Oreochromis niloticus: one gene and its partners. The main gene of each other region encodes a partner of the protein of the gene in region 2 in a complex. Links are inferred from orthologs where the notes say so. Each region holds a gene or a part of one and is shown on either strand. Other genes may lie near its edges.

Region 1 (7,754 bases), on a different chromosome or scaffold from region 2:
AGTTTTCTGTCTTCATTTATGTTGGAAGTGATAGCAGAGCTGTACGTTTGAATGTTTCAGAAATCTCAGTCAGAACATGCTATATCATGTTTAGGTGGAAGCTAGTGAGCTAACTTCCTGCTAACTTCTAACTCTGTTAAATTTCATAAATCCTGTTTTCATGGATGCCTGGATGTTAAACTTAATAGTTACACCTGGTAAAGCAGCAACGCTGATCATTTTATTAAAGATGAAAGAATTTAGACAGTTTGTAACTCTCAGTGATGCCGCAGTGTTCGTTTGACTTTGGGACCTGAAGCGGAGTTTGGACCCAGAAACAGCTGATGACATCAGACTTAAAGACCGGATGTTCTTTATGGATCTGTCAGCTGATCCTGTGATGACAAGTCACATGACACAAACACACAGGAAGTCCCTGACAGGGTTCAGGTTCTGTTGAACCTGCTTCCTGCTCAGGTGGATAAGAACAGGAAGTGGCAGCCGAGAGCTTTTAAATAAAGTAGGCGGAGCTTGAAAAAAACATTTATTATCACATCAGAAGAAGAGGCCAGAATAAAGGTAAGTGCAGGTGTTTTCCAGCTGCTGAAACATCTGCATCGTCAGGACACCACATGCTCCAGGACGCCCTGACGAATCAGCAGTTCGCATTTCCACCGCGGCAGGAAGTGCTGAGGACAGAGGGGACGTTACCATGATGACTTCAAACATTTCACATGTTATTAAACAGTAGAAGAAGAGTGGCTTCCTGTCCTCACCTGGCTGTTCTTCTTCAGCAGGATCACCGTGCCGTCGTCGATCTCAAACTCGCCGTGGTCCTTCAGACACCTCACCTGAAAAACAAAGACGGATGCCGGCGTCAGTGCTGCGAGGTCATGCTGCAGCTGAAGGTCAAAGGTCAAATGTCTCACCTCAATGTAGAGGCTCTTTGGAGGCTTCATGTCCTGCGTGATGTCCAGACCCTCATCGCCCCCCAGAGAGCGCATGAAGGAGGCCAGAGACTTCTTATACTGACTGAACCACTGCAGCTAAAACACACACAACACACACACACACACACACTGAAGAGCTACAGCACGCTCTGCTGCCTCTTTCACAATAAAAGCCTCCCCTGAAGCGAATTACTCAGGCTTTTAAAGTGAAAGTTTACAACCGCCAATAAAAAGAGCATCAGTGAGAGCGCTAACACCTGAGAGACACACAGGAAGTGATGTCACACTCACCTCCTCTGCACACATGTGGAAGCGAACATTGGCGGGCAGCACGCTGCCGTACTCCCAGCGCAGCGCTCTGATCCTCAGCAGCCGGTCGTACCTGCAACAAAGATCAGCAAAGGTCATCGAGGAGAAAGGTGAGGCAGAGAGAGGTGGTCACATGACTGCAGGTGTGGTTACAGGTAGGCGGTGACGCAGCGCTGGTTCCTCAGCAGGCAGCAGTGGCGCAGTTTGATGGAGGGAATCAGCTCGGCGCGACCTTCGCTCTTTGCCTCGTTCCTGAAAAAACACGCACATCAGCTGATCAGTGACGCCGTCAGTCGCACCTGTCTGTGCGTGCGAACACTCAGGTGCCAGGGAGGATGCTGGACGGGGTCCGCTGAGCAGTTTGGAGTGGGCGGGGCCTTCATGACACCCTGAACCAGCACTCAGGTGGTGTTCCTCCTTTTTAGGAGGTCCGGAGGGTGTGTTACTGTAGGGTCTTTACCTTACAGCATAAGCACCCTGAGGCGACTGTTGTTGGGATTTGTTGCTGTATAAATAAAATTTTATTTAATTCCTGAGATAAAATTTTCATTGCATTTAGTATTATTTATTACTTTTATTGTAACATTAACTGTAGGTGGTTTTGGACCCAGTATCATGAATTTAAACTGAAGCTGAGGCCCAAAGCTTCACATGACTTCCTGTTCATTTGATATGGATTTCATGGTTTTTAAAACCTGCTATGAGAGGGAGGAGCGGGGGCACGGGAGGTTTAATCTGGTCATGGTGAAGCTCAGGTTAACAGAAACCTGGATCCAAACCCTCAGACCCTGGGAACTCTGAGGAAACCCGGACAGATTGGCCTGCCGTGGACTCACACGTCACTCTGGTTCTGCTCGTAAAGTGCCTCCATCTCCTGCAGCACCTGTCGCAGTCCATCCTCCTGAAACACAGAAACCAAACCCGAAGTGAGTGAGGCTCAGTGACCTGATGGAGCAGCTCCCGGTGGAGGCACAGACCTCCACAAAGCACTAGTTTGCATCAAACCCTCACTTCCAGGCGCCTTCAGATGATTCTTGTTGAATCCAGACTCCATTCAAATTTCTCCCTGTTTAAGGCTGAGTTGTTATTAGTCATCCACACACGAGTTTGACAGCACTTTGATAATTCAGCATATGCAGGAAATGATTCACCACGAAGAGTCCAACATAATATTAACTGTGTGCTGCTGGCTGCACATCGGTGTCGTTAAAACAGCCGACATGTAATGCAGTGCCCGTTATGTGTAAACATGTTTAGATGAGATCTCTAAGACGCGCATAATTCTGTCCAACACTTTTCCAATTTCAGAGTCCGTTTTCTTAAATTCCCCTCATTGGTCTGTTGGTCAGTATTTGAATCATCAGACCTGAGCCGAAGTTTAGTCCTGTGTCTGCACTGACTGAGGATGTTTGCGATGCATCACAGACCGATTATTCTGCTCTGAGCAGCAGGTAAATATTAAAATATCAGGTTTGTGAATGGAGTCCGCTGCCTCTGAAAACCGGGTGAAGCTCTGGGTTTTCGCCGGGATCACTCACGTTAAACGCGGGCAGCTGTCCGTCGCTCATGCGGTGCAGCTCTCTGATCAGCTCGATGGCTTTTTCGCAGAACATCGTGGCACCTCGAAAACGAGCACACCGAACAGAACCGAGCAGAATACCGGGAATCTCTCCGTTGGACCGCGACGCGCTCCTACTGTACCGGGCGGCTCGCGTTCGCGGTAAAAACAATGTTTTGATCACGTGACCGTTCCAGGCGCAGCTCCGGAAGCCGCGTTGGGTCAAACCTCAGACTCCGCGACACGAAGCGGGCAGCTGCGATTCCTAAAGGCTCTGGAAAGAGTCGGAGATGCGGTGAAGCGGATTCATTTGAGCCCGACTTAGAGGTGAGAGAGAGCCGTGTTAGTGCTGGTGTCGCCGGGGGCGGGAAAGCCGTCATCTACCGTCAAATCTCAGTTCTATCCCGCAGCGTGACTTCCGGTAAGCGCAGCGGCTAAAAATAAAGCCGTCAGCCCGACAGGAGCCTCTGACAGCGGGGACCAGGACGAGCCGGACTCACTGGCTCTGTGTGAGTTCATAAAGCCGCCTTTAACGCACTCTCCGCCGCTTCTTCTTGGGTTAGCTTCGGTTAGCTTCACTGTTAATACTGCGTTCAAGTTCCACCGGAAAAACGACCCCTCTGCAGCAAAATCCCTCAAAAATAAGTCAAAACTTCTGGGGTGATCGTTGGTTTCATCCACGCTTCCAATCAAATACACATCACTGCAGCTGTTTATCAGGAAATTACTTGATCTTTGTGGTGGCTTCTCTTTCTGGGACTTAATGGATACTCAGTGTCCTGATGTCGATTCATAAATGCTTTAGTTTGGGATTTTTTTTGGTCTGTGGTGTGTATTGGAATGAAATACAATGTATAAATCAAGATAGAAGCTGCTTAAATATTCCAACACAGAGACAGAGATCACAGCTTCTCACGCTTCACTTTGGTCACGTCATTCTGGGCGTTTCTTGACTTTCCGAGCTGTCCCTGAAGGCCCCGTACGCTCCCTTCGTCTTTAGTCTTTCTTTAATCCTCATAAACCGGTTTTGTTTTGGTTGTCGTTGCTCCGACGCTCCCCGGGGGCCGTGGACGCGTCACTGTGCGCCCACGTGGTTGTGTTACCTGCGTTGCGATTGGCTGCGGCAGATCTGCTTCAGATCAGCTGCTCTCTGCGGATCTCGGCGCAGGCACAGCGGGGACTCGGCTCCGTGCTCACCGGCTCTCAGCGCTCCGTCACCCGCACCGCAGCGGCCTCCTCCCCGCCGACGACGGGGGTGTCCTCCGGTTAACATCCGCTTTCAATCACGTTTCCAGGCATGCGTAAGCGGACCAACTCGCAGACAGCGGAGCATGACAGCGGGACCACCGGCACTCTGCTGGACAGCGACCCGGACCTGAAGCAGCGCACTGGCAGAGGAGCGGCGGGGCCCGCAGCAGGCAGCCGGCAGGGCCCGGGAGAGGACCGGAGCATGGCCAAACCGTTCCGGAGGTGAGAGGCGGGACAGATGCTTGTGATGTTGAAGCATCGCGTTATTTAGATGAAAATCAGTGTGATGTGAAGTGAATTCCATTTCATAGAAAAAAATCTTTATTGTTTTTGCTGCTTTTCTACTCAAGTTTATTCATTTAAGAATAATTAGTGCTGTACAAGAGAGTGAGACATTTAACAGTGATAAAGGTATAAATCCATAATGATAAACAGCTCACACGTAAAACAGAAATAAGAAGAAACAACAGTAAAATGGAAAGCTAAAAATTACAACTCGAATAAGAACATTTTATAAAAAATGCTTAAAAACAGAGTTGAATAAACAGCTTATTAAAAAACATCACAGAGGAGACCAAAAGTGTCCCGTCTGAGAGATCGGAGCGGGCTTGTACAAACTCAGGTATTTCCTCAACGTGCTGGGATTTTGACCCTTGTGCAAGATCTGACTGTGGGGTGGCGTTTCTGGTCCGACTGGTTTCACCGAGGCCGGCGAGCTGGTCAGACCGGAAGCTGCAGGTCGGACTGAACACGGCGGGTCCATAAAGCAGCGCCTCATTCAAAGCTCTGAACACAAAACTGCTCTTTGTTTACTGCAGCAGGAAACTTTACATCGAGATGCCAAAGCTATTTACCTGCAACAGCTGACAGACTCAAGCTGTCGCAACATCATCACGTTTAGTTTAACTGAGTCATCTCTGGTTACGGGCACAGGAAGTCAGCAGTTACAGCAGAAATGAGCTGATAACAGCAGCTTCACTGAGAGACAAACAAACATGAAGCTGCTGTGATTCTGATGTTTCTCTATCAGGATGAAGCTGACACTTTCAGGTCGGCCTTCATCCTGACTTTATTGTTGAGTGTTTGAGTTGAGTGTTCGGTCACAGCTCACGGCTCAGAGAGCTTCATAGGACCGCCTCCAGCAGGGTTAAACATCACAGCTGGGGGTGAAGAAGGCTCTCAGGCTCCGCCTTCACAGCCGTCCTTTAATGAAGAAATGAAAGAATTTAAAGAAAATACTCCAAAAAGACAAAGTGACTCTTTTCTGATCTTTAATTCACGAAGAATGAAGAATGTCAGACCTCGTTTAACCCCAGCTCAGCCTGTCAGGTCCACTCTTCTTCTTTGGTTTAATCCTCATTAGAGTCTCTGCAGCTCCAGCAGGAGGTCACCTGAAGCACAGGTCAGGCCCAGTGCATCCTGGGACGTTGACACATCCACCGTCTGAGCTCAGACGCCGACAGGAAGTGGCCTCGCTGCTGCTGCTGATGCGTGTTAAAGCTGTGGGTCACGGGTTTGAGTCCATGTGTCATCACTTCCTGCAGAATCAGCTTGTGAAAGGAGAAGTTCTGCTCCGTGACGCCGAGTCAGCGTCTCGACCTCAAACACGGGTGCCCTTTGACCTCTGACACACTTTTCAGAGAGTCGCCGTGAAATACGGAGCTGCGTTTTCTTATCACGAGTCAGCAGTACTGCAGGTGTAACAGTGGGAGTCTAGCCCGCCACAAACACGGGCATCCAGCTGTGGAGACACCTGACAGGAAGTTAGGAGGAGGTCCACGTTAAAGAGGCGGGGCTTTAGAAGCTGTTTGTAGATAAAAACATTGATTTCCTGCTTATGTTCATCATTACAGCCACGATCAGACAAGATGCTGTGTGTGTGCATGTAAACATGCTGCTCTGAGGACAGGTGAAGGTCTGCAGACTCTCACTCATCAATGAATAATTCAGTCTGCAGCTGCAGCGTCCTGTTACAGCGACAATACCAATACAGCTGATCAGCTTACACACACACACACACACACACACACACACACACACACACACACACACACACACACACACACACACACACACACACAGGGCTCAGATATCACCTTCACATGTTGTCCTGAGAGAAAGCAGCTGCTACCAAACTTGAATAAACTTTATTTAAACGGTGAACGTGAGGCTGCATCGCTCACACATGTTGTGTGCGTTATTTTCAGAGTTGTGTTTCTTGCAGTTTCCTGGGTTTATTCATGTTTCGTGTCTTTGGCAGCTCGATGGTTGTCAGATGCAGATTAATGAATAAAAATGTAATAAAAGTCAATCCTGTGTGATCGGGTCGAGTGGTGGACGCTGAAATAAAGTCCACGGAAACTTTCTATTAGTTACTGTGTTCTTAAAATGACCTGTGATATAATAATACAGTGAAATGTGTATTTAATGTCAGCTGAGGCTTCAGTTACCCTTTAATAACAGGACATTTTAATCATTGTTGGAGTAAAAGTCATAATAAAAATAAATGTACAGAAAGTTCAAACCAAACAGAATCAGGTTCCCGTCACAAACTGAATGTAAAGATTTCACGTGTCAGACGATCTGCACGCCTGTCACACGTGTCACGCTGAACGTGTCACGTGTGGGTCATTCATGATGTTGTGCTGTTATTGTGTGCCCTTGTGAGTAGGCGGGGTTTAAATAAAGTTATTTTGAATGTGTGTGCTCAGGTTGGGTCTGGTGGGGAAACTGAAGAGGGTGGTGTTGTGGCTGCTGCTCGTCTACGTCTCCATTCCCTTCATCATCAAGCTGTGTCCGTCCATCCAGGCCAAACTCGTCTTCCTCAACTTCGGTGAGTCGGCGTGTCCCGAATCGGCCTGTGTGAGCGGACGCTCCTTTATTTATAAAAACCTTTTCGTTAACACGCAGTAAAAGAAAACTCGATGAATCACTTCAAACCCCGGCCGCCTGCCCCTCCCTGGTCCTGCTCTGGTCGAGGTCTCTTCCTGTTAAAGGGAGTTCTTCCTCCTCGCTGTCGCCGAGAGCTTGCTCATGGGCTTCTCTGTGACTCTTACCTGAGTGAATGACTAGTCTCGGTTAAAGAGCGTCCGTCGTCCAATCAGACGGCATCAAACAGTTCGTCTGACTCAGTGAAGTTTAGAAAACAAAGTGTCGGTCCTGTGATCGTGACAGACATCAGTCTGTCCACGTCACCTGCACAGGTGCACTGCAGAAGACAAAATGCCACGCCCACATTTCTCCTTAAAAGGAAAGACATGAATGTGCAGCTCAACTATAAAAAGGGTTTCCTCGACGTGATGGGGGCTAAAAATAGCACAGAGGCTCAGGTGGAAACCACACAGCAGAGGGAGGGGCCACCCACCTGTGGGGCCGCGTTACTTTAATAAATCACAACAGAACGTTTATTTATTCTGTGTGTGTGTGTGTGTGTGTGTGTGTGTGTGTGTGTGTGTCACTGAGGTGTATTAATTACTGTAAAGATCAGTAATGATGACAGGAAGCATTGTGAATAGCGAGGCATCCTGGGTGTCAGTGAGCAGTCATGTGATCAGTATGTGACCTTTGACCTCCTCCCCTCAGTGAGGATGCCGTATTTCATCGACCTGAAGCGACCTCTGGACCAGGGATTGAACCACACACACAACTTCTACCTGGAACCTGAGAGCGGGCTGAAGATCGGAGTCTGGTAACACAGACACACACAGACA
Region 2 (7,084 bases):
CCTCCCCTCACCTCCTCCATGTTGATCTCAAACGGTCCCTGGGATTGACACTCCGGACAGGAACCCGGCTTCACCTCCTGGTTCTGGGACTGGAAGAAGGGCCCTAGCACGAAGTTACACTTGTTACAGTTGTACTTGACCATGCCGAGCTGAGGCAGGACACCGGTGCAGCTGCTCACCACGCCGCTGGTCCGGATGAGCTGATTCAGGTGCAGCTGCCTGAAGAGGACAACAGAAGAAGAAAACAGTTGGTAAAGAGCAGAAAGCTTCACCCAAGTAGCTCCTTCATATATAGACGGCCCTTTTTGGAAGAGCCACAGATGTGCCTCGCCAAGACAAATGTGGAGGTCTCGCCTTAGTTTCATTACTACTGTGAATTATTCCTTCAAGTTGAAAATACCTGTTGGGTAAAAACTGAAGTGTTACCTGAGTGATCGGATCTCCTCGACCAGAGGCAGGTTGCAGATGCGGACATGGATCTCATAGGCGATGCGATCGTATTTTGGGTACATGGCAAGCACAACTTCTTTAGCTGCTTCATCAAAAATCTGGCAAAGAACAATCAGACACGCACCGGAGATCAGAAAATAATTGAAGGACACTCACATTTAACTTTCACAGCATTTAATATCCGCTAAAGTTAAATATAAATGCATGAAGAAAAAAAAAAAGGCACAGAAAAGGACATTAAGCAAGATGACAAGTTGACTGACCTTCAGCATCTCAGCTGGAGCTTCTGGTAGGAAGTAAGCCAGGACGTGCTCCCTGGCTGCGAGGTCCTCATAGTTTACTACCAGGCTCTCCTTGTTCTCTGGATTACAGGTTCAGATTGATTCATTCAATCATTGCCAGAAATCAGCCAACAATTATATTTTTCCGCACATTAAAGTTTACTGAAAACTGCATTACCTTTACACATATCGCTGATCTTCTCCTTGAAGACGTTGCGGCCATTTTCATCCACGTGTGTGCGCAGGAAGTTCTTGAAGCGGTTGTAGATTTCCAGCCGCGGCGCCGCCATGGATACCCACTCCCTCACTGTGTGGCCCTGCACAGTGTGTGAAAACGTTACAAAGACGTCCCAAACAGCCGGACCTGAAAAGCTTCTGTGAGCTAGCTTATCTCCAATGTCACCACAAACCTTCATGTCCTCCAGATTCTCAATACTCTCAATCATCTCCTCTTCCTCGCCATCACCTTCTGCTGCCCGCTCAGCCAGCCGTCTTCGCCGAGCAGCCGGGCGCTCGTCATCCTCATCTTCGCTGTCTGGATGCCAACAAAATAAAAGAATTAATCACAGCCTACACGTCACCACCCTGAAAAATATCCACACACTCAAGCCTCACCATAGAGCAATCCTGGCCTCACGCGCCCCCTGACTCCCTGTTGCCTGTCCCTTCTCCTCATGGCCTCCTCAGCGGCCGCTCGGGCTCCAGGCGACAGCTCTGACAGCTCCTCATCATCGAGGTCCAAACCCTCTGCCTCGTACTGATCCAGCTCCGGGATGGCACGGTAATCCCTGAACAGAGACAGAGTTGTTATTAAGCCCTAAAAAAAAAACAACAAAAAAAAACAACCCCACAGAGTTCATAGCTTTAAGGCCATTTTAAATCCACGCTCACCTCTCCATCCCATCTCCAATCAGCTCCTCTCCATCTTCTTCCTCCTCCCCAGGCAAGGGTCCATCTCCCAACAGCCCCTCCGACTCATCCTCGAAGGGTGGCAAGTCTCGTCCGGGGCTGGAGGTCAGGTCTCCCCTCCTGGAGGCTCGGCTGGGGCTGGTGGCCATGTGGTATGACTCTGAGGAATCCTGTTGACAACACGAATTCAGAACAAATAAATTATTCTTATGTTTACTGCCAACAGTAACCTGACATTGTCTACAGCTTCCACTGCTCACATACAGCATTTAATTTTAGTCTGTGTTTTTATTTATTTTTTTAGCAGATTCAGTTTTTTTGCATTTTGTCTTCAGTGGACAGCAGCAGCAAGAAAGACAGTAGGTAGGGATGGTGATGAGGGCAGAACATTGTGCCACTGCTGTCAAAGGATTATTGTCTTCAATTAGTTTGGATGTACATCAATTTGCAAATGGACTTTAATTATATTTTTTAACTGGTAACTTGTAGTAGTTAGTTTTATCTAAGGGAAGAAAAACTCACATAGGACTGTGTGACTTCTCAAAGATCATAGATCTTTAAAAGTAAGACTGTAAGACATGTTTATTACATTTAAGAATGTGGCGAGCCAACATTAGAAGCAAAATGTAATTTGATAGTTTAAGTATTACAGGACAGTTGTTACCACGGGACAGTGTATTTTAATGATCTTTTCATGTCTTTACTTTATTGAAACCAATAATTTAAAGCCCATCATGCCTTGTAAGTAAACTATAATCAATTATTCCAGATGTAAGGACTCATGCAAGGGGGTGTAAAGATTTTTTTTAAAAAGTTTCATTATTCCTCGGTTGTTACTTGAGACGGTTTAGAGATGCAAAAACAAGCTAACTGACCACATGGTAGGTCTGCTTTTCACAGCGAAGGAACAAAAAAACAACAACGGGTTTTGGGTCCAGTCTACGAAGGTGAAAAACGGTTCTTAGCAAAACACGCGCAGTTTAAAAGATCATAAAGTATATTTTTAATTCCGATATGTGGGAAAATGAAGCTCTACATCAACTCTTGATGACGCTCTCTGTCGTTGTTGTGACTTCGACGAATGAACAAAGTTTATTTTCCCAGAAAAACTAAAGCTGACTGGTAAAAACTGCTTCGTATAGAATAATGCGCCTCTGCCTACAAGCTGAGCCCTCCCATCAGAGCACTGCGCCTGTTTTTAATGAGTTTACTCACCGCCATCGCTGCGTTTCTGTCTCGCTGCTGCTTCAAAAGCTACTTATTCTTCTTCCTGCCGTGAGTCGCTTTTCGCGCGAAAAGACCATGTGACACTCAAAGCCCGCGAAAAAGCATGAATATTCAAGAGAGACGGATAAGGTTTTGCTTTCTCATTGGTGTATTTGCCTGAAAGAGGAGGGGATGAAAAGCACAGTGCGTTCGCTTTATGACAAGGAGCAGAACGACCGCTTGTCCTGTTGTGTGATGACCTTAATAAAAACAACTAGGGTCGAGCCGCAGAGTAAAACGAACGCACCTTTTGTCTGACCGCGATGGAGGGGCAGGGTTTATTACGTCGTATAGTTTCCCGGGAAATTTTTGGCTGCGTTCAAATCCGCTTTATTTCCTTCCTCGTATCCTCACTACACTAAAAATAAAGTGGCTTTTGCCTTCCTGTGGATGTTTTTGCACTGCAAAAATATTAATGTCATCAATTAAGTCAACACATAAGGGATCAATAAGATAAAATAATAATAATTTGTATGTATAGATGCGAAGATTGTGAGACAAGAATGAAACACAGAAACAACCACAATTTAGAAACTTAAATAATAAAAAACACACATGCTTTAGTAAAAGTAATTCTATAATGCCAGAAATAAAGGTAAAAATATTCAGGGAAAACATTTGTAGCCTGAAGTGACTGCATTTAATTAATTAAATTCATTTAGTGAGGCCAGTTCCTGAAACTTTAGTTGATTCTGCAGCTCATCCCAGGAGCAAGGAGCTGCAAAGCTGAATGCTCATTTGATAAATTGAGTGCAAACCTTTGGGACAGAGAGAAGGAATTCATCTTGGGCCCTATAGACAATAACGTCCCACACTTTTTTGATGAATGCAAGCCAGTAAGTAAGAAGGCAGCAAATGTGGAGTAGCCTTATAAATAACAACATTCCAGTGGCTAAGGCTATAACACGACAAAGAAGACCATTCAACCTGAGCATATAGCATACAGTGAAGAGTACAAGCCTTTATATTGAATCAGTGCTCCATGATAGACAGAATCTAGCATCAGTAAGGATTCTGACAATGCATGCAAATAAATCACATCATCATAATCAATTACAGACATAAAAGTGCCTCAAAGGATCTAAATATATCCCCTTAGTACCAAAACAGGTGTGATAATGACCTTTCTGCAATGGCATTGGGTTTTTAAATTTAAACAAGTGAATGAGTTTAGTGTCAAAAAGGGTGAGTTACTAACATGTGCAGACTGAAGAGCTCAGATCAGGCCAACATATCAGCTTGATTTGAATGTTAGTTTGCTCGTTCAAAGCTGTGTGCTTTAAGCCATAGAAAGAGACAAGAAGGTGTAGCTGCAGAGACAGACCTTTATTTTGTAGCTATTTCTGATAGACCAGAGATAGCTACAAAATAAAAGCACGAGATGAGAGAGAAAACGATCATCAGCAGTCAGAGGGATCGCCAGAACATTTCTGTTGTTCTGCACTCACGGGACCTGAGCAGGCCCGCTAACACCAATCCTGAAGAAATCAAAGCCATAAAAAAACACGGCCATGCCGTGTTAATCACCACTAGGCCTCGTCTGGACCTGCAAACCTGAGGTGTGTTGCTCATGCCTTGGTCTAAGCTTTTCTGAGCCACACTGAAATTGCAGAAAAGGAGGAGGAGGAGGAATTTCAGCCATTCCTACTGGCTGAGAAGTTTTACAGGGTGACTCTGATTGGCTGGAGGAGTGTGAGCAGGGACTCCCTCTGTGCTCTCTCAGTCTTTGTCTGAGATTAAAAACACAAACAGTTCAGTCAGGCCTCACTGATCCAGTTAGTCCCAACAGTGTGCTGTTCTGCAGCAGAGAGCAGCTGTGATTAGGGACAATGCAGCTGTGGTTTGAACAGTCAACACTGCAAGTACCTGCAAAATTTAACACAGCAGTGTGAATTCCCCACTCAGCAGACTGTAGAACTGGAAGATTAGAAATTTTACAGGAAAAAACAATAAAAAACAACCAAGTTTCCCCCCCTCACGTGTTGGAGCAAAATCAGGAGGTGAAGAAACCTGCTCAGTTCATGTTGCAGAGGGTGGAGAAGCAGAGCTGGCAACCACGCAGATCAGGAGGGAAGAGTGGGGGACTATGCTGAATGGAAAAGTAAAAGCAGGAGTTTACAGCTGAAGAGGACAAAGGTGAGTTTTAATTTTGCTGAGTGTAGAGAAGAGAGAAATATAAAAGCAGAGGACAAAGAAAGGAGGGCTGATGAAGGTGTGGACGGTTAAATTGCAGTGAGCTGTGGAGAGCCGGCGGAGCAGAGTGGCAGCAGAACCGACTGTGGGCGGAGAGCGAGGAAGTGCGGTCAACAGGAGAGGAATTTAAAGTCTCATTGTTCTGGAAGAGCGGCGGCAGACGGAGTCGAGGAGCCGAGGAGACAGCTCACCGACTGACGCTGGACTACATGGACATGAACTCAGCCATGGAGAAGGTAAAAACATCTGCATCAGTACAGATTGTTGTTCACAGATATTTCCAGATGTGGAGGTCAATGGGTCAGAGGGTCACTTACTGGTGTGGCACATCACATCAGTGTAAGGTCAGAAGGAACTCTGTGATGTGCCTAAGTGAGCTTTTCTGACATTTAGAGGTTTGAAATGTCTCAGTTAGCTCTGAGTTTGGATGTTTTACATTCAAGCCTCAGAAGAATCTCACATTTCTTCAACATTCATTCATCACTGTGTTCAAGATCACCAATTTCTGTCTGAGAGAGGTTTTATTTTATTTAGCTACACAGAAAATCAAGTGTCATCTGAGTTGTGTGATGTTCATTTAAAGGGAACCTATCCTGCTTTTCCTTCTTTCCTGTGATTATATGCAGTTGCAGTGGTGTATGCTCACATTAAACACAAAGCCTCACATAATGAGGTCAGTGTACGTGTGAGTAATTCCTGTGAGCAAAAGCCGACACTTCAGACTGTTTCGTTCTTGGATCTGTATGACATCAGATAAAGACGGGTGTCCTTAATATGGTCATCTCAGGTATACCTGAGGAGCAACCAATCAGAAGAAAGTTGCTTTAAAATAAGGATGTCAAACATGAGGCCCAGGGGCCAAAATCTAGTCAGGAAACATTCAAATTCAGCACATCTTTGGAAAATATAACAAAAGACATAGATTTAGTCTTTTAACTGTATTTTCATACGTTTTACAGCTTTTCCTGCTGATAAAGACCTCCTCCTCTGCCATTCATACTACACCAAGAGTAATTAAGCAATAGATTTTTAAGACGTTTCTTATAATTATAGGACAGTCTGAGCTACCAGAGCTTTCTCTGTAATTCTACACATTTATTTCTTACAATTTACTGCAATTAAATTCTGACAGATTTCTTTCATTTAACACAGCAGCGTTTCTTTATCATGTAGAAAAACTGACAAGTTGTTGAAATAGCACGTGGTCTTCTCATATCTCAGGGATTCAATTTGTAATTCAACTTTGTTTTACACTGACAGAAAGTGGAGTTTCGCTGGTCTGGCCCACTCAAGATCAAAGTGGGCTGAATGTGCCCCATGTTTTAAAATGAATTTGATGGTTTAAAAGGAGATGGACAGGTAATGAACTAAGAGAGAATAAGATAGTGTAATATAAATAAGGATTATTCTGAGCTCTGTGTCATGCAAAGTGACTCTTGTAGAATTTTAATAATAGTAATCATAGTAATAATAGTAATTGTAATAATAGTAAGCCAGAAAGCAGCATTAGTGAATCTACAACAACCTGCACAGCTGCATCCACTGTCCACACTGCACTCAGTTTTGTAATGCTGAACTCAGTGACGGCACCCTCTAACTTTAAATGAATAATGGGCCACGTACACACTTTGAGCTTACACACACTTAACACACTTTACAGCAATTTGATTTTTGATTTCAGATTACATTACATCAGATTTCCTGATCTGACCCAATGAGGAAGAACCTCCAAACAAATAAAAACAGAAGTCCAGCTTGAGTCGAGCTTTCTGCAAGCTTTAGTCATTGTGATCAGTTCAGATCATGTTTATAAGTGCTGTAGGCTAAAGCCAGTTTGGACACATCTCTCTGCAGTCTGAGTCTAACAGCTGGAGGTTTCTATTTCAGTCAGCGAAGGTAATCCATGACCACGAGGTCCTGATCTGCCTGCTGGGTCTGTGCTGGCGGCACTTTGTTTCCCACAGATCCCTCCTGTAATTCGGCCT
Region 3 (7,930 bases), on a different chromosome or scaffold from region 2:
GTAGCTCAGTGTTCCAACATGCAGAAGAAGCAACTGCTATTGCAACTAGAGATTTGAAAGAGCAGCTGACCTGAGAGGTCTGATTACGAAGACTATGTGAAGTAGAGCTGGGCGATATGACCCAAAATTCATTTCTCGATATTCTTTAGCTGGATGACGAAATATATATCTCGATATTTTTTTAAAGCCATAAAGTAAGAACAAAAAGAGAGTTCTAAGTGAAAGCTGTGTCCCAGATCTCACACAGACACTTTTTTAACATACAGCATAGATGTACATGAAAAAATTACTACTTCAATAATAATATTACTCCAGAAATAAAATAAAACTGTTGTTTTTGTGCATAACAAAGAGCTCACAACTGTGCAGTCAAAATGTAAACTAACAGACGCTGAGCATAATAACATAGACAGATTTCACAGCTGCTCTGTTCCCAACTTCTACTGCGTGACTGACAGCCTGGAGTTTGAAATCCTCTTTGTAACCATGTCTCTGAACAGGAGCCATTTATGGTCCTTATACACACACAATACGGTAATATTACGTTGAAGCACAGTACGTATCACTCCGCGAGGCTCCTGACTACGGTAGCTGTAATCCTCCGACAATCCATCAAGCGGTGCAGCGCCGTAGCTTAGCAAAGTCGCACTAAAACATTTTTTGACAGATTGCTGAGCGCTGTGTATCACATAAAATCGGTTCGCAGTCAGTAAGCACAACCAGAATTCATACATAAGGCATACCGTCGATTTTTGAGAAAAAGAAAGGACTTTAGGCCGTGCAGCCCCCGTGCGATGTGAATGCAACATTACAGACAATCACCACTGTGGTCATCAATGAAACCAACCAACTGATCTACCCCACAACAGCAGTGATCAGTGAGATGTTTGGGAACAAGATGAGCACCCACAAGGAGCAGTACCCTCCATGGAGAAGGAAACTAGAGGCCAAGATCAAGGCAGCATAGAGGGAAGTATTGGAGCTGCAGAAAGGTGTGATGAAGAAAGGGATGTCTAAGAAGTACAGCAAGCTGGTCACACCTGAGGCCTTGGAAACTGCCAAGCAAAGACTCACAGCCTTGGCTAGCAGCTTGAAGAGGTACACCTGAGACATCGAAGCCATGAAAATCAAATCATCTGAGATGTGAGGTGCTGGAGATGGAGCAATATCGGAAGAGTATACAGCAGAAGCACACAACCCATGACAGCAATGCTCAGTGTTTAGTGGATCTACGGGCGAACCACAGCAGCCTCCCTGAACGGGATCCAGTAAGCATCACAGCGGCAGACATCCATGAAAGAGTCTCAAGCATGAAGCGTTGGGCAGCATCTGGCCCTGACATCATCCACGCCTACTGGCTAAAGAAGCTCATATATACAAAATCCCTACTAATGACAGTAGGGACCTGCAATTTTCATTGTTATTATAAATAATAATTATTAAGAAGCGTATCTTTGTTTTAGACTGAGACTCAGAATCATCAAACTGATCCAGGTTTGCATGGAAACTGTCACACTGATCATCTCTGCTATTCTGTGATATCATTTTTAATTTGGTTACAGAAAAAAAAATCTGGCTGAATAAAAAACAAGATTTTAGATTTAAACATCTGAAGTGGGTCTAAAATCGAAAAGTCGTGAAATTTTGAGGGCTCAACAAGTGCTGAAAAAAATATTTATTTGGAGAGCTGTAACTGGTGTCACTAGCGTCTCCATAGCAACATATAAATGCACAGTGACTATTGTGCGCCTGTCCATCTTCCACATGTATGCAATGAGCCTACCTGTGGACTGTGTGGCAGGGGACTGAACTGTGCCCTGCAGTGCTGGCTGAGCCCCTGAGCTTCTTCCTGAGCCTTGAGCTGCTCTGCCCATGAAAGGGAGACCGGAGAGGTCAGGAGGAGACGAGTCTTTAGGCTCCAGTCTGCTGGATACTGGGTGCACACAGGAGCTGCTACGGCAGTGGGAGCAGTGGCTTGGGGGCTCTAGAAGGACAGAGGGGAATCCTTTGAATACACGGTTATACACTGCACAACAGAAAACCTGGGAAAAAGTGACAATTCTCACAGATATGTCATTCAGCATTTAAAAAACACACAGAATAAATTCCCACCTTCAGCAGTGGGTTTTTAATATCCTCCGGTTCTTCTTCCAACAACACATCACTCTCAGACAGAGATCCAGATTTCTACAGCAGGACACAGACAAGAAAGGTAAGGCGTTTAAGAGGGGGTCCTATAGTTTCTCCCCTCATGTTTACATCTCTACCACATAAAAACAGGAGCTTCCTGACGACAGTGCAAAGGACCGAGACCAACCTGGCTGGAAGCTTGTCGGTATTCCTGTTCTTGTGCCTCATCGAGCCTGAAGCTGAGAGCCAGATCTAGCGTGCCTTCTCTCTTCGATGATTCTTCATCTCTCTCATTGTTTGCGATCCCGGAGCTATCGGAGTTTTCGGTGTTACAGCTGGCGTCGTTAAAAGTTAGACGTTTCTTCTTAGGACTGTAAGTGTTTTCTATTTTTGCGAACGGGTTCCTGCGTTTTATTCCAACCCCGAAATGGTTCTGGGCGCCGGAGAGCGGTTCGGGGGAGAAAGTCCGTACGCACGTCGGAGATGAGCCGCTTTGTTCGGGGCTGTCTGTGGACCCGGCCCCGGCTTCGCTTCGGGCTCTTTTGCGCCTCATTCGCAAAATTTCCGCAGGCCGCTTGAAGCTGGGTGAGTATCCAAAGTGTTCCGACATCCTGTGGAGATGCAGTTTGCCCCAAACAATCCACTTTTAGCGCTGTTTCCTTTAGAAAGGGCAGGACCCGCGGCTGTTTTTGTTTTGCGCTTTCTGCGCTGTACAAATTTGGCGCGTAGCGTGCTGACGTAAAGAGTCCCCGCGTGTTAATGGCTGTGAAGAGGTCGGAGCTAAACGGACGTCATTTGTTCACGTTTGTTTTTGTGACACGTTAAAAATAAATACATAATAATCTACAGAGTTAAGTGCAATTATTGTGTCTGTTGGAGCCTTTACTCATCGGGAACTTTGGACATTATGGTACGTCAGGATGTGACGTCGTATCGGGTTTTACTGCATTTGAATTGTATAATTTAAATTAACAATTTAATAATAATCAGAGACATATACAGAAGGAGATGTTGGAACAGTTTGGAAACTTGAGGGTTTGTAGAAAGAACTTTTCAGAAAAACACTAGTCAAAGTCTTGACTTCCGGCTTTGACTTCTTCTCTTCCTATGTCAGCGCTTATGTGGCGATATTGTCTTAGTGGCGACGCCTATCATCCAGGAGAATACTGCAGCGGCTATATATCATGACAGTGACGAGTACCGGCGGGACTTAGAGGGGACAAATTTAACGTCGCCAGCTTCGCATAGATCTACAAATGTAAGCTGCTTTCAAGTTCCAGTGTTAAACTGGGACATTTGGGCTTCCATTGTATACCTGCATTTTGTTTTCAGATGAAGTAGATTTTTTTTTTTTTTTAAAAACAAACAAACTTGAAAACGTGATTTATCATTGCAGACACTATACAGTAGCGTGTAAAGGTTAGTATATGGTTTAAATAATCTGTTGTTACATGCTGGACACTCTTCTGTGGGGAAAAGCCAGCCAGTGCTCAGCTGCAGATAGAGGGAACAACATGGTTGTATCATCCTCTCGAGTGAGTATAGTTCTCCTTTTCAAGATCAGCTGTATAAATTCGCTATAGGCTCCTCTTGTTCACGTGTATCTTTTATCAGTTTATTTATTCGTTTCTTTTTGTGTTGTTTCAGTTATTACATTATGTGTGGTATAGTATGACAACGTCTAAGGCAGGACAGTCAAGAGGAGAAATAAAAGGGAGAAGGAGGGAAGAAATAAGGGAAAATATAATAAAAGGATAGTGGCACGAGCCGAGAACAGGGTCCCAGGGCTCCAGGCGTCCAAGAATTGGCCAGCACCTGAGCCAGAGCCCCCTAACAAGGAAGAGGTCCAAGCCATCCCATACCAGCAAGGGAGCGGCTCAACAACCACACCAGAACATCCAGCCACGTGCTGTTGATCCCTCCCTTGGATGCTGCCCCTCCCTGCATCCCAGGTTGGGGCAGCATCATCCAGCGGAAAGCGGTAGGAAGAGGGAACCACTCCCTCCATGACCATGTCCCAAAGGGGCCAAGGCTCAGCAAGCCCCAGTTCCAGGTCCAGTCATGAGCTTACACTGGATTTTTGAGCTAGTATTTTGCACTGCTCTTACTGAAGTGCTTTTACTGCACCAATTGTTTATAAATTGCTCCACACTGCAGTTGTGACATCACAATAATTTGCCTCACTTAGTAAATCTGTCCCATGGCATATAAAATTAAATACATCTTATTTTCTTAGATTTTACTGTTGTGGTCCAGTTTAACCCGTTTCCTTCTTCCTGGTTAGAATTTCAAAATAGGCCAGGGGTCAAAAAGAGGAACACCAATGCCCTGTCCCTTCACGAGCTGCAGACTAATATAATCAGTGTTCTCACAATCGAGGTAAACAAGGCAAACAAGCTAGAAAACATGGTCCCAATATGATAGAAAAGCTTAAACATGACTAGTTTGTTTATGAAGAAATTAATGGCATTAACAAAAGAGAAAAACAAGCTCTTGAGAAAATATTCAAAAACAGCAAAGTGATATCAGTAACAGATTATCTGAAGCACAGTGCTACAAAAAATGATGGCGTCTGCATCTGTACGATGAGAATGAACAAGACAACAGGACGTGAGACAAAAAGTATCCTGATTCTGTCAGAAAGCTGCTACCGAGCTCAGACAGAAGGCAATGATTGATGTGACGCACACGCTGGGCAGACGAGCCATGTGCAATCATCATCCTCTGCTCTGTGAGAAACATCTGAAAGAGAGCAAACAACAGTTCCTTCCTGAAAGAGAAGAAGCTTCATTTTGGTGAGAAAGAGAGTGGTCAGAGCAGCGCTGTGGAAACAGCTTACATCCAAAGATTCTAGTACTCTGTCTATAATCACGTTTTGGTTGATTTAAGCAGAGCTTGAACTGAATATAAAGGAGGCAGAAATTTTTCCTGCTATTTTGAAAGACCACAAAATTGTGACACAGACACCAAATATCAGTAAGTGGCACAATAGAAGGGGTTAGGCTCAGACTAGCTCACTTCTGAAGAGCGAACAGCTCATATCAGATATAAAGGATCTTATAGGAAAGTCCTGGAATTTGGCCTCAACAAGTGATGAATGTGGAAAATACTGGGAATTTCTAAGGTTTTAAATGAGAAAGATAGCCATTGCATAAGCACATAAAAAGAGCTCAAAAATAGAAAAAATAATGATATTTCTGCTGTCAATTTACCAATTAAATGTATAGCTGCTCTCTTTAATGAAGCGATCTGTAAAAGAAGAACTGTCCCCGTCATTAAAGCAAGGACATCTCCCTTTAATTCCCCAAACCAACAAAGATCCTTTATGTTTTGATAACTGGAGACCAATTACACTCAACAATGATTATAAAATGACGATTTTCATATTAGCAAAGCGTTGAAACACTGATCCAAATAAAAGAATTCAGGAATCCCACTGTGGATTCATGAGTGGCATTCATATCTCAATAATATTCACCTGTTTTTGGAGCTAGTTAACTACAAATAATGGCTTGTTGGCAGTCACCTGATTTTATTCTTTATTCTCTACAGTTCTCCACAATTTTATCTTTAACCCTAAATTTTTTAAAATTTGATAACTTTTTTTTAATCAAAGCAATAAAGACCTTATCATCAGTGAAACTGCCATCACTCAGATTAAGAGGGGAATTTTATCATGGCCGTCCCATCTCTTCTTAGCGGTAAGCCAAAATCTAAACCTTTCAATAATCCACGATAAATTTAGTTGCATTATCTTTAAATGTACACAAGTCACTGTCACTGGGGTGACTGTAGCTCAGGAGGTAGAGTGGGTCACCTTAGTGGTTTGATCCCTGTTTGCATAAATAACCCCAAGCTGCTCTCTGAAGCATCCATTTGAGTACAAATGTGTGTGACTGTTAGATAAAAAGCATGTAAATATAAGAAAAAAGTGCTTGTATTAATGGTAAATGGACTGATATGGATAGTGCTTTTCCACTCTCTCAAACACAGTGACACAAATCAGGCTTAAACCTTAATTTAAATAATTTTGAAATTCTTGCTTTAAAAAACATTGCTAATACAGAAATATCCTAGTTAAAAATATTGTTAAATATTTGGGAGTTTTGATCCCAGTGGAGGACAAAAGCTTGATGGATGATAACATAGACCTGGTGATTTTATATGTTCGAATGAAATGTAGCTCCTAGCTGGCTAAAGACTTCCTCTTTATGTCAAAGTGGTGTTAAGCGAAGAAATAAGCTCCACAACATTTTTTCCCTTCATTTAATCAGATTATCAAAATTATTGGATCAAAATGTTTCTGAAAGATAATACGTGGATTTTTATCCTAAACTTCCTATTTAAAAAAGTAGGTGGTGTTAATGTTTTATGAATGTGCCCTGACCTTTCATAAACAGGTTGGTCCTTCCTACTACTGACTAACTACTGTCCTCGCAAATATTTTATATGGAACTGTCAATATCACATACAGAAACAAGTCAACAATATTTTACTGGTGAAACGTCTTTTTGATTGTGAAGGACTTCCATACTGAGGATTTTGTGCAGAAATACAGAGTTCTGGTCTCCAAACTCCAAATTCTCTACCTTCACTCCAGTTGCTGCGTCCGCACAGAGGGTGGCTTCACGAATTTCTTCAACATTGAGACCGGTGTGAGGCAAGGGTGTATCCTCTCTCCCTTCCTCATCCTTCTTGCCATTGACTTTGTTATGCGGAGTGCCATGGACCAAGATGCCTTTGGGATACCTTGGCATCCACCAGCACACCTGAAGGACCTCGACTTTGCAGACGACATTGCTTTGGTGGCTGACGTCCGGAAAAACATGACTACTATGACATCATGCTTGGCGCAAGAGGCACCCAAAGCAAGCTTATGGATCAGTGGAAACAAGACCAAGGTCATGAGGATAGGTTACGTGACAACACAGGACTCCATTACGGTAGGACTGCAACCACTGGAGGAGGTGAATCAATTCACCTACCTGGACAGCATCCTGGCAAGTAATGGAGATGCTGAGCATGATGTTGTGTGTCGAATTGTAAAAGCAGGTGCGGTCTTTCAGCGGCTCCGGCCGATCTGGTTGACCCCAAAGATCGTTCTGGCGACAAAGATTCGCCTGGTCAACTCCATCGTTATACCTACCGCAGTCTACACTTGTGAGACGTGGAAAACATCAGCCAGAATCACAAAAAGACTCCATGTGGCCCAGCAGCAATGGCTACGACGTATCCTGGGGGTCTCCTACTGGGACCATGTCACCAACGAAGAAGTACACCATCGAACTGCCACACGTCCCCTGCAGGACATTGTGACTGAGTGGCGTGTGCGCTTTGGAGGTCATGTTCTACGTCAACCCCCACATCGACTGCCCAAGATTGCCATCACATGGAACCCACCCCATGGAAGATGCAAACCAGGCCACCCCCGTACAACATGGCGGAGGACCTTCATCGATGACTTACGCACCATAGACATTGCATGGGATGAGGCCGAAGCAGCCACAGCCGATCGAATATGTTGGTGGACGCTTGCCGCCCAATGCGTTGAACGGCGCAGGAGGACCTAAGTCTAAGTAAGTAAAAGTAAAGGTCTCCAAAGAGGAGATCACATACTAAATATATTAATATATAAAAAAAGATCTATTTAAAAATATTTGTTAAAGCTTAAAAGAGTATGAATATGTAAGATTTCCATGGGAGTGCAGAGGATCCTCTTTCACAGCATATTTTATATCTAAAGAGACTTTTAATACAACATATTTTAAATGTCCAGTACATGAAAATAAGATGCCATTCC
Region 4 (7,617 bases), on a different chromosome or scaffold from region 2:
ACTATATAGAACCACTTTATAGAATTATATTTGTTTGCAGATGTTGGCAGCTATCAGCGAATAGTTATCAGCCATTTTGAAACAAACAAAAAAAGACACTTTTTATCCATAACAAGAACTCCATAACAGCAAATACAGAAAATACAAATGCTATTTATGGTCTCCTCACAACAATGATAAGAAAAATAAACTGGGCCAATATGGCATGTTTGTTAATACAGAGACACACATGTTAATGTGATCTCTGGTCTCACACTCAGAGACACAGGTCTCAGAGTGTCCAGCATTCAGACGGCTACCCGAGGACACTCATGTGAGAGAAAATCTGCTCACACAGATATGTAGAGCCAAATACTGTCAATAAGGCCTCTGCAATGTTCTGAAGACAGTCAAACTTGTCAGGTAGTGATGTCCAGCAGGTGAAAATGCAAACTCCATGAACACGCACAGCTGTAGATTCCAGCTATTTCGATGTTATATGTATGATTTCTATACATTTTATGTTAGATAAAAAATTTGGTTGTAAGCTTCAGATAATTATTTAATAACACCCAGACATTTTAAACGAGAATAAGAAAATATTTCTTTGTGCCCCCCTTTACCTGTTAATGCCCTACCTGGCCCCTGGCAACACTTTGCTAGACCCGCCCCTGCACAGTTACCAGCTGTCAGCTACTTAGAAAAGGATCCTGGTGTTATTTGTCTCTCAGAAACAGTTCATAACTTCCCTTCAACTCATTCATGCCACCTAAAAGGTAAACCTGTTTCTCCATCACCTGTTCAGCTCTGATGATTCAGTAAGGACATCTCCTGGTTTCATCTGCATGTTTCCCTCTCACCAGATATACAAACCATCATGACCAGCAGCTTTACAGCTGTGGCTCCAGCAAACATCAGCTGATACTAGAAAGAAATATTAAATAAATTCTAACAACAGCTGATCAAGCTTAAACGTGCTGCTGTTGTTTAGCGCGACATCCGCTGGTTTCCTCTTTCTGGCGCAAAGTGGGCGATAAACAAACAAGAGAGAAAAGCCGATCAGCTGATCATTGATCGTTTCATGATTGAGCAGAGGGAGGGGGAGAATGAGAGAAGAAGAAACAGCTGACAGCGTAACGACAGAATAACTCCAGCTTTGTGTCTTTTTTTCATTCTAGCTGAAGTCCGGGACAAACTGTGTTCCTTTTCACCTCAATACGAAACGCGTAATATTTTCTCTGAATACGAGACGATTCCGTCTTTTTACAGGCAACTCTACTAACTAACCTTATGAATAAAATAAAGTTCACTATGGTATCACTAACATCAAAGCACCCACCAGCTGTATAGAAACTCCGTCATGCTAGCTAGCACGCAGTACGAGTTATTGTAACTGACTGTAAAAAGTCAGCACAATGAAAATAAACTCCACCTAAACTTGGTTTATATCTGACCCAGATAGACTGCAGGTCATAACTTCTTACCTGAAGTTCAGTTCACCTGAGACTTGGACCGGCGGCTGCCTCGGGTCGTTCCTCCTACTGCCTCCCCTTTCTCTCATCCACCTGCTGGCCTCCACCACTTGCTAATTTTACTGAATCTGAGGAAGCTTCGCCATAGCCACCACCAAACAACTGAGTTATTTGTACACACCGACCAGCATCTGGCCAATCCACCACCTTTCATTGTTTATACGGTTACAAAGGAAAAAAAAGTCACCCCGGCCACCGAGCAAAAGCCCGATGGCCAGTCCAGCATTGGTCGTGCCATCAGTTAACCCTTCGCGTGCCAACTGTGGCACGCGTGCCTAGGGTTGCCGACCCCTGTCCTAAACCATCACAATAACGTCAGATCATATTTATGAAATGATGTCTTAGTTTTACATCAGATGTAACTCAAACCTTCCAAAAAGTTAAACTTTGTCTAGTGAGTCCACAGAATATTTTCCCAAAAGGCTTGGGGATCATCACAATGTTTTTTGCAAATGTGACATGAGCCTTTGTGGTCTTTTTAATCAGTACTGGTTTTCACCTTTGAACTCTCCAGTGGATGTCATTTTTGCCCAGTCTCTTTCTTATTATTGAATCATGAACACTTAGTTTAACAGAGACAAGTGAGGTTCGTTAGATGTTGTTTTGGGTTACTTTTGACCTCCTGGATGAGTCTTTGATGGGAAGGTTCACTACTGTTTCACGTTTTTTCCATTTGTGGATAATGGCTCTCACAGTGGTCTGCTGGCCTTTCCAGACTGGTAGATGTGAGACTTGGTTTCTCAACTGTTTCGTTTAGCCTGCTTGACTTTGTAAGACAGGTTCTATTTAAGGTTTTTCTTGATTCAACCGATCTGGCAGTAAGCAAAATATTGGATTTAGTTTACAGGGTAACTTATATGTGGGATATGAATTACCTAACGAGTCTGTTTTGCACCTGAATTATTGTGAAAATTTAGTATCACTGGGGGATGTTCAAAACATCTCTGTAATCATGTAGATACCACAAACGCATGACCAAATCCCGCGACTGGATGCTACTGGAGTGAAGTCTGTGATGGCACAGTGCGAGATTATTCACGGCAACTACAGTTAGCTGCGTTAGCTAGCTCGCAAGCCTAGCTTACTCTCTGCGTGTGTGTTTGTTGTCACAGCTAACAACAACGAGCGTTCACCTGAAATTTCTCTGTGGCCAGCGGGTCGTCGGGAGCCCGGTCTGGATGGACTTTCAGCGACACTTTGTAGTAGCTCCTCCGGATCTCAGCCTCTGTCGCCTCTTTGTTGATTCCCAGAACCTCATACAAGTTTGAGGTCTTAAAAAGCTCCTGGCAACGCTCGAGCAGACCCATCCTGACAGCTGACCAGGTGCCTCAGTCTGAGCTTTGACAGGAAAACAATTTCCTCCTAAGAGTCTCCGCGACGTGTACTGGGGAGTTTTGTGGCTAGCTAAGCTTTAATTTGTTTTCTGTTGTCGGTAACATCAATTTGGCGCGCTAGCCTGTCACAGAGACCAGTGCGTGCATCGACGCGCTTGCGTAACGTACACAAACGTCTTCTGATTGGATCTCGTGACCGACATTGTCAGAATGTGAAATGAGGCCTTTCATGACGCACTTTTACACAAGAGATAACACAAGATTTATCCTTTTGGGGAAAGATAGTTTTGAACAAACTTTTTTCTTATTTCCCAAACTTCTTTCAGATGGTATTTATAGTGTGTCAACATCTTCAATGTGTTGCCAGTACGTTATAAATGTTAATTGATACATGTTTGGTGTTAAAACAATACAACTAGAGTACCCTTAATCTTGCAGTCCCCAACTCAGTGGCATGAATACATGGATAGGACCAGTTGGAACTCAAATACTTTACTCAAGTTTAATGTATTTTATTTGTTACTTTTAACTATTATTGCACTCTGTACTCCACACATTAAAGCTTTCATTATTTATTATTTTGCAGATTAAATGCTTATAAGCCTTCTTCTTTCAGCTGTGGTAACCCTCATTTCCTAGAACCCTTGTCTGTCACACCAACCCTTTCCATGTTCTCCTTCACTACATCCATAAATCTCTGTTGTCTTCTTCTTTTCTTTCTGCATGGCAGATGTATATTCAAGAACCTTTACCTAATAATATAATAATATAAGTGATTAAAATCATTAACAACTGCAATGTTTAAGAGATATACACATCCATAAATTACTAACTATGATTCAGTAATATCATGTTTATGATTATGCAAAGTGTCAAATACTTTAAACTTTAAAGGTACAGTAAGTATTTTTTTTAGTTTATTTATTACATAGAAAGCAATGTTGTTCTCATAGTTACTGTGTAACTACCTCTTTAATCAAACTGATTCTGTAAACATGCTCAGTGTATTTATGTGTGCATTTTACTAGTAATACCACAAACCAGCAAGGCTTTGTGTTTTCTCTTGAATAAACCCTCATTGTCTTACCACAGCTGCTTAGCATTTCTCCATTTCCCACCAATCAAAGCTAAATCAGCATCAGTCTCTTGTATTCCTTTGCAAGTGCTGCATCTGTTGTAAAAACTTGAAATGTCCTTTGTGTTTTATGTGGAGACCACCCTAGATGTAGGAACCCTTATAAGTTGCTTTTAATTTAAAGATCACAAATTGTTCTTTCTTAGCTATAGATGAGTATTTAATAAATGAAACTTTTGTATTGCCATCATCTCTTCCTCACTATGTCTTTCTCCTTCTCCAACACGTCTTTCATTTTTCTCTCTTCTTTCTCATTTCCACGTCATTTTCTTCCTCCCTACCTTAAGCCTCATCTCCTATGAAGTCAGGGCTCCAACACATGCAAATGTGCATAAACATGCTTATTTATTCCCCAAATTGTCACAATTACTTATTTTTAGTGGATTAGACATGCAACCCATCTGGACAACTGAAAACGCCAACTACGCAACAACAGCTGGTTATAAACTAACGCTATGTCAGCTAATGTTAGGTTTGAGTGTCCTAAAAATCACATTTTTCCTCTGATTAAAGGTTTGATTTCACTCTCACATTATGTGAAAGTTTGTTTGTTAGGCATTGGAAGACAGCAGTGTTTGATCCACTTCAAAGAAATATTCACTAACACCAGCTAATAGCAGCTAACAAGAGCTAACAGCAGCTAACAGCAGCTCAGTGGCAAAAATACAGCAGTGCTTACCTACAGAAAAGTTGATACTCTTAACAACTCACCTCAGTATTGCTGTAATTGGACAAAAGTGAGCTTCACTGACTCATGGACTCGTATCGGACTCCTTTCACAGGGGTTTCACAAGGTTTACAGCCTCCTCCAGATTAAATAGACATGGACACCCGGCATATTGACAACTCAGGTAAGCAGTGGACTGACAGCCTACATTCACTGTAGATGCAGAGTTGTTTGTCCTACACCAGCTACTGTAGCTTAGATTATGTACTTGAATTGGGAGGGATAAGAAAACAGAATTTCCTTGGCTGTAATCTGCAATCTACTAATATCTATTTGTGAGATTTTACACATTGTACCTTTAAAAATATTGCACTTTTACAATACGTAAGCAGGATTATAACTTTTACTGTAGTAAAAAGTCTAAATACTTTTTTCCCCACTTTGTAAATCAAGTATACAACACAAGACTGTTTCAATTCTTGTGCCGCACCACTTTTCACTAAAACGGCCACTTGAGGCTCTGTAAAAGCTTTTCAATACTCATAGACTCCAAGTTTACACCATTAAATAGCATGTTAACAACCATTTACAGAAATGGTTTTGGGATTTATACCCTTTATATAAACTCCAGGGAGGGTGAAATGCATCTGCCATTTGACTGACAGGTGTCCAGACCCAGGCAGCTGTAGCCAGTTAAGCTTTGGCAGGTCTCAACTCCACTAATCAAAAACATTAGATTAGTGTGAAATACAAATGGTCCAAGAGGTTTGTCTTTCAGTTTTAGTAAGTGAATTCTAGTGCTCTATTTAGCAGGTATAGTTGTCTCTACCTTGAACCTGTATAGCTTATGGGTGGAGCTTGATTACCAAGGATGCTAGCTAATAATTTAAATCCACCCTGTCATCCAAATATGGTAAACAGCATGATCAAATGCCAAGACTGAGGCTAACAGTGATGCTGCAGACAAATTATTGTTTAATGATGTTAAAGCTGTTCTGTCTGAAGTGATAACACCATATATAAATTACCCCTTTTAACATTGTTTTTTCTATATTATTTTCTCCTGAAAAATTTCTATCAGCAGATTAAAGTCTACGTAAAATGCATTTTTCATATTTCAACCTTAGTTTGAATCTATTCACCAAATTAAATCACAAATCTCCCCTTAATTAAATGCCACAGATTAGTGTGGCCTTGAGCAACTCAAAAGACTTAATTTCTCATGATAAAAGCTGAAGCGTTAAATTTAGAATTTCACAAACTAGTGCTAATACATGCATCAGTCAGGCAGAACCATACGGATACCCAAGTATTTATTAATGAGTTTGAAGCAGCACAAGAATACATCAAAGACAATGAGGCAAGTCACTAAGTATTTTCACTGCTTCATGCGAAAGCAGAACACAAAGATACACACTGACTTTGAACTTAGCATCTGTAGATTGCACCCATCTGTGTTTATAAGCCTGTACAATATGCAGCACTGGAGATATATACTACAACCCCCGCGTCTCAGATGTTATCTAATTATTGCCCCATCTGCTTCTGTTGCATATTTGGCACAGTCTCTGTTGTTGTTTTTGTCTTGACTTTTGTCGTCACAAACCTCATCCGTTCTTTGTATTCTGACACAAAATAAGCACTTGGACAACTGGCACATTATTATTATGATCAACAATGGAAAAAATGACAAAAGCACAGGAACTGTATTGTAAATGTTATGAACTTTTGCTGGTGTGCAGATCCTTCTCATATGCTTTCTATCCACTTGCACAGATCTTGTAAGTGGAGATCTTGAATGTAACCATTGCTCCTCCAGAGGGAATATTTCCTTGTTATGGTAACAGTCTCTCTACAACAGTCAAATGGCTTCGTTCTCTTGGACAGTCTTTATAGCATGCCCGTGGCTGATGCATTTGTCCCTTAACTGAGACAGTTTAAAAACCTCCTGTAGGGGGCAGCAGCTCAGCATTCCTTTCTAGTCTTCACCATCTTGCTGGTATACTTGATAGGGATCCCCCAGCGTCTCATTAGATAGACATCAAACACATAGGCCATTCCTGGCTCCAGGCCCCCAATCACAGCTGTAGTGACGGCCCGCCGAGGATTCAGCTCTTGGAAATACTTGCAGAGAACTCTCTCGGTGTCAGAGCGGGACTCTGGCCCCAGACAGGGTGCAGTTAGAGCTGATGCTCCGCCAGCTTCTGCTTCACGGCTTCCAAGCTTTCTGCGGTACACACAGTAAAGGCTTCTTTCCTCTGTTCCCATCCACGCTAGTGTGACACTATTGCAACCACGCAATCGGTTGAAGGATTTTATCTGTAAGGTGGAGGGCAGAGATGGGACTCCTCTGCGGTGGTAAGCTGATGAGGTCTGCATTTTGACTGAAGCTGTCAGACCTTCTGGTAGCGATGGGTCTGTAACAGCAGACGTGTGGTCCATGGCAGTTCCTTCTCTCTTCAGGTGGATGAGATAGGAAGTACTTCCCTGGAGCCATATGTGCACTAATTCTCGCCCAACAGCCTGAGAGGTCAAGACCTGACCTTTACTAGATACAGTCACCTTGACCTTTTCACCTTCCCCACAGCTCTGCAAGGTGAGGAGGCCACTCTGTTGCCAACCCCGAGGACGGAAACTGAAGAACTGCTCCGAGCTGAAGCCTCTGTCTTGGAAGGTCACCCACCTCAGCTCTCCTTCTCTAAGGGTGGTAATAGCAGGTCGAGCCTCCTCATGTGTCCGAGCAAGTGTCCCCTTGTATGCCATGCTGGTCCCATTCAGCCTGTCGACCACAAAGACATCAAAGTAATACTGGGTCTCAGGCAGGAGCTCTGAGACGGTGCAAACACTTTCTGTCCCCTGACACACACATTGGAGGTCTTCATACTCATCAGTGAGGGAAGCTGGTGGACTTTGAGGACTTTCAGGATAAGTGTCCCACTGCTGCCACCACCACTCTTTCAAAATGGGCCA

What was found.
Region 1: mcm2 (region 2) and gins1 share a complex: the UniProt entries of both Homo sapiens proteins name them as parts of the CMG helicase complex. The link is inferred for Oreochromis niloticus from reciprocal best matches to the Homo sapiens genes MCM2 and GINS1.
Region 3: mcm2 (region 2) and donson share a complex: the UniProt entries of both Homo sapiens proteins name them as parts of the replisome complex. The link is inferred for Oreochromis niloticus from reciprocal best matches to the Homo sapiens genes MCM2 and DONSON.
Region 4: the proteins of mcm2 (region 2) and dnajc9 are in contact, whole or in part, in a crystal structure (PDB 7CJ0), measured with the Homo sapiens proteins. The link is inferred for Oreochromis niloticus from reciprocal best matches to the Homo sapiens genes MCM2 and DNAJC9. Residues at the interface, in NP_004517.2 of Homo sapiens: Glu65, Glu66, Glu67, Asp68, Glu104; in NP_056005.1 of Homo sapiens: Lys185, Arg189, Arg192, Lys244.

What each region holds. Positions count from the first base shown.
Region 1 is NC_031978.2:2,105,972-2,113,725, reverse strand, and holds gins1 (DNA replication complex GINS protein PSF1), read right to left. Parts: upstream 2,910-7,754; 5' UTR 2,852-2,909; coding exon 2,777-2,851; intron 2,743-2,776; exon of another isoform or gene 2,250-2,742; intron 2,140-2,249; coding exon 2,075-2,139; intron 1,491-2,074; coding exon 1,392-1,490; intron 1,312-1,391; coding exon 1,221-1,311; intron 1,026-1,220; coding exon 909-1,025; intron 831-908; coding exon 756-830; intron 669-755; coding exon 600-668; 3' UTR 511-599; downstream 1-510. Other genes in the region: lysophosphatidylserine lipase ABHD12, read left to right, coding at 4,094-4,266, 6,756-6,877, 7,627-7,732. UniProt on the Homo sapiens protein: Required for correct functioning of the GINS complex, a complex that plays an essential role in the initiation of DNA replication, and progression of DNA replication forks.
Region 2 is NC_031970.2:13,027,617-13,034,700, reverse strand, and holds the start of mcm2 (DNA replication licensing factor MCM2), read right to left. Parts: upstream 3,010-7,084; 5' UTR 2,862-3,009; coding exon 2,856-2,861; intron 1,811-2,855; coding exon 1,623-1,810; intron 1,520-1,622; coding exon 1,347-1,519; intron 1,267-1,346; coding exon 1,142-1,266; intron 1,049-1,141; coding exon 910-1,048; intron 812-909; coding exon 714-811; intron 549-713; coding exon 427-548; intron 220-426; coding exon 12-219; intron 1-11. Other genes in the region: lmcd1 (LIM and cysteine-rich domains protein 1), read left to right, coding at 5,309-5,335. UniProt on the Homo sapiens protein: Acts as a component of the MCM2-7 complex (MCM complex) which is the replicative helicase essential for 'once per cell cycle' DNA replication initiation and elongation in eukaryotic cells.
Region 3 is NC_031986.2:3,398,489-3,406,418, forward strand, and holds the start of donson (protein downstream neighbor of son homolog), read right to left. Parts: upstream 3,014-7,930; 5' UTR 2,741-3,013; coding exon 2,318-2,740; intron 2,188-2,317; coding exon 2,113-2,187; intron 1,985-2,112; coding exon 1,784-1,984; intron 1-1,783. UniProt on the Homo sapiens protein: Replisome component that maintains genome stability by protecting stalled or damaged replication forks.
Region 4 is NC_031978.2:12,735,951-12,743,567, reverse strand, and holds the start of dnajc9 (dnaJ homolog subfamily C member 9), read right to left. Parts: upstream 3,009-7,617; 5' UTR 2,819-3,008; coding exon 2,645-2,818; intron 1-2,644. Other genes in the region: ndnfl (protein NDNF), read right to left, coding at 6,613-7,617.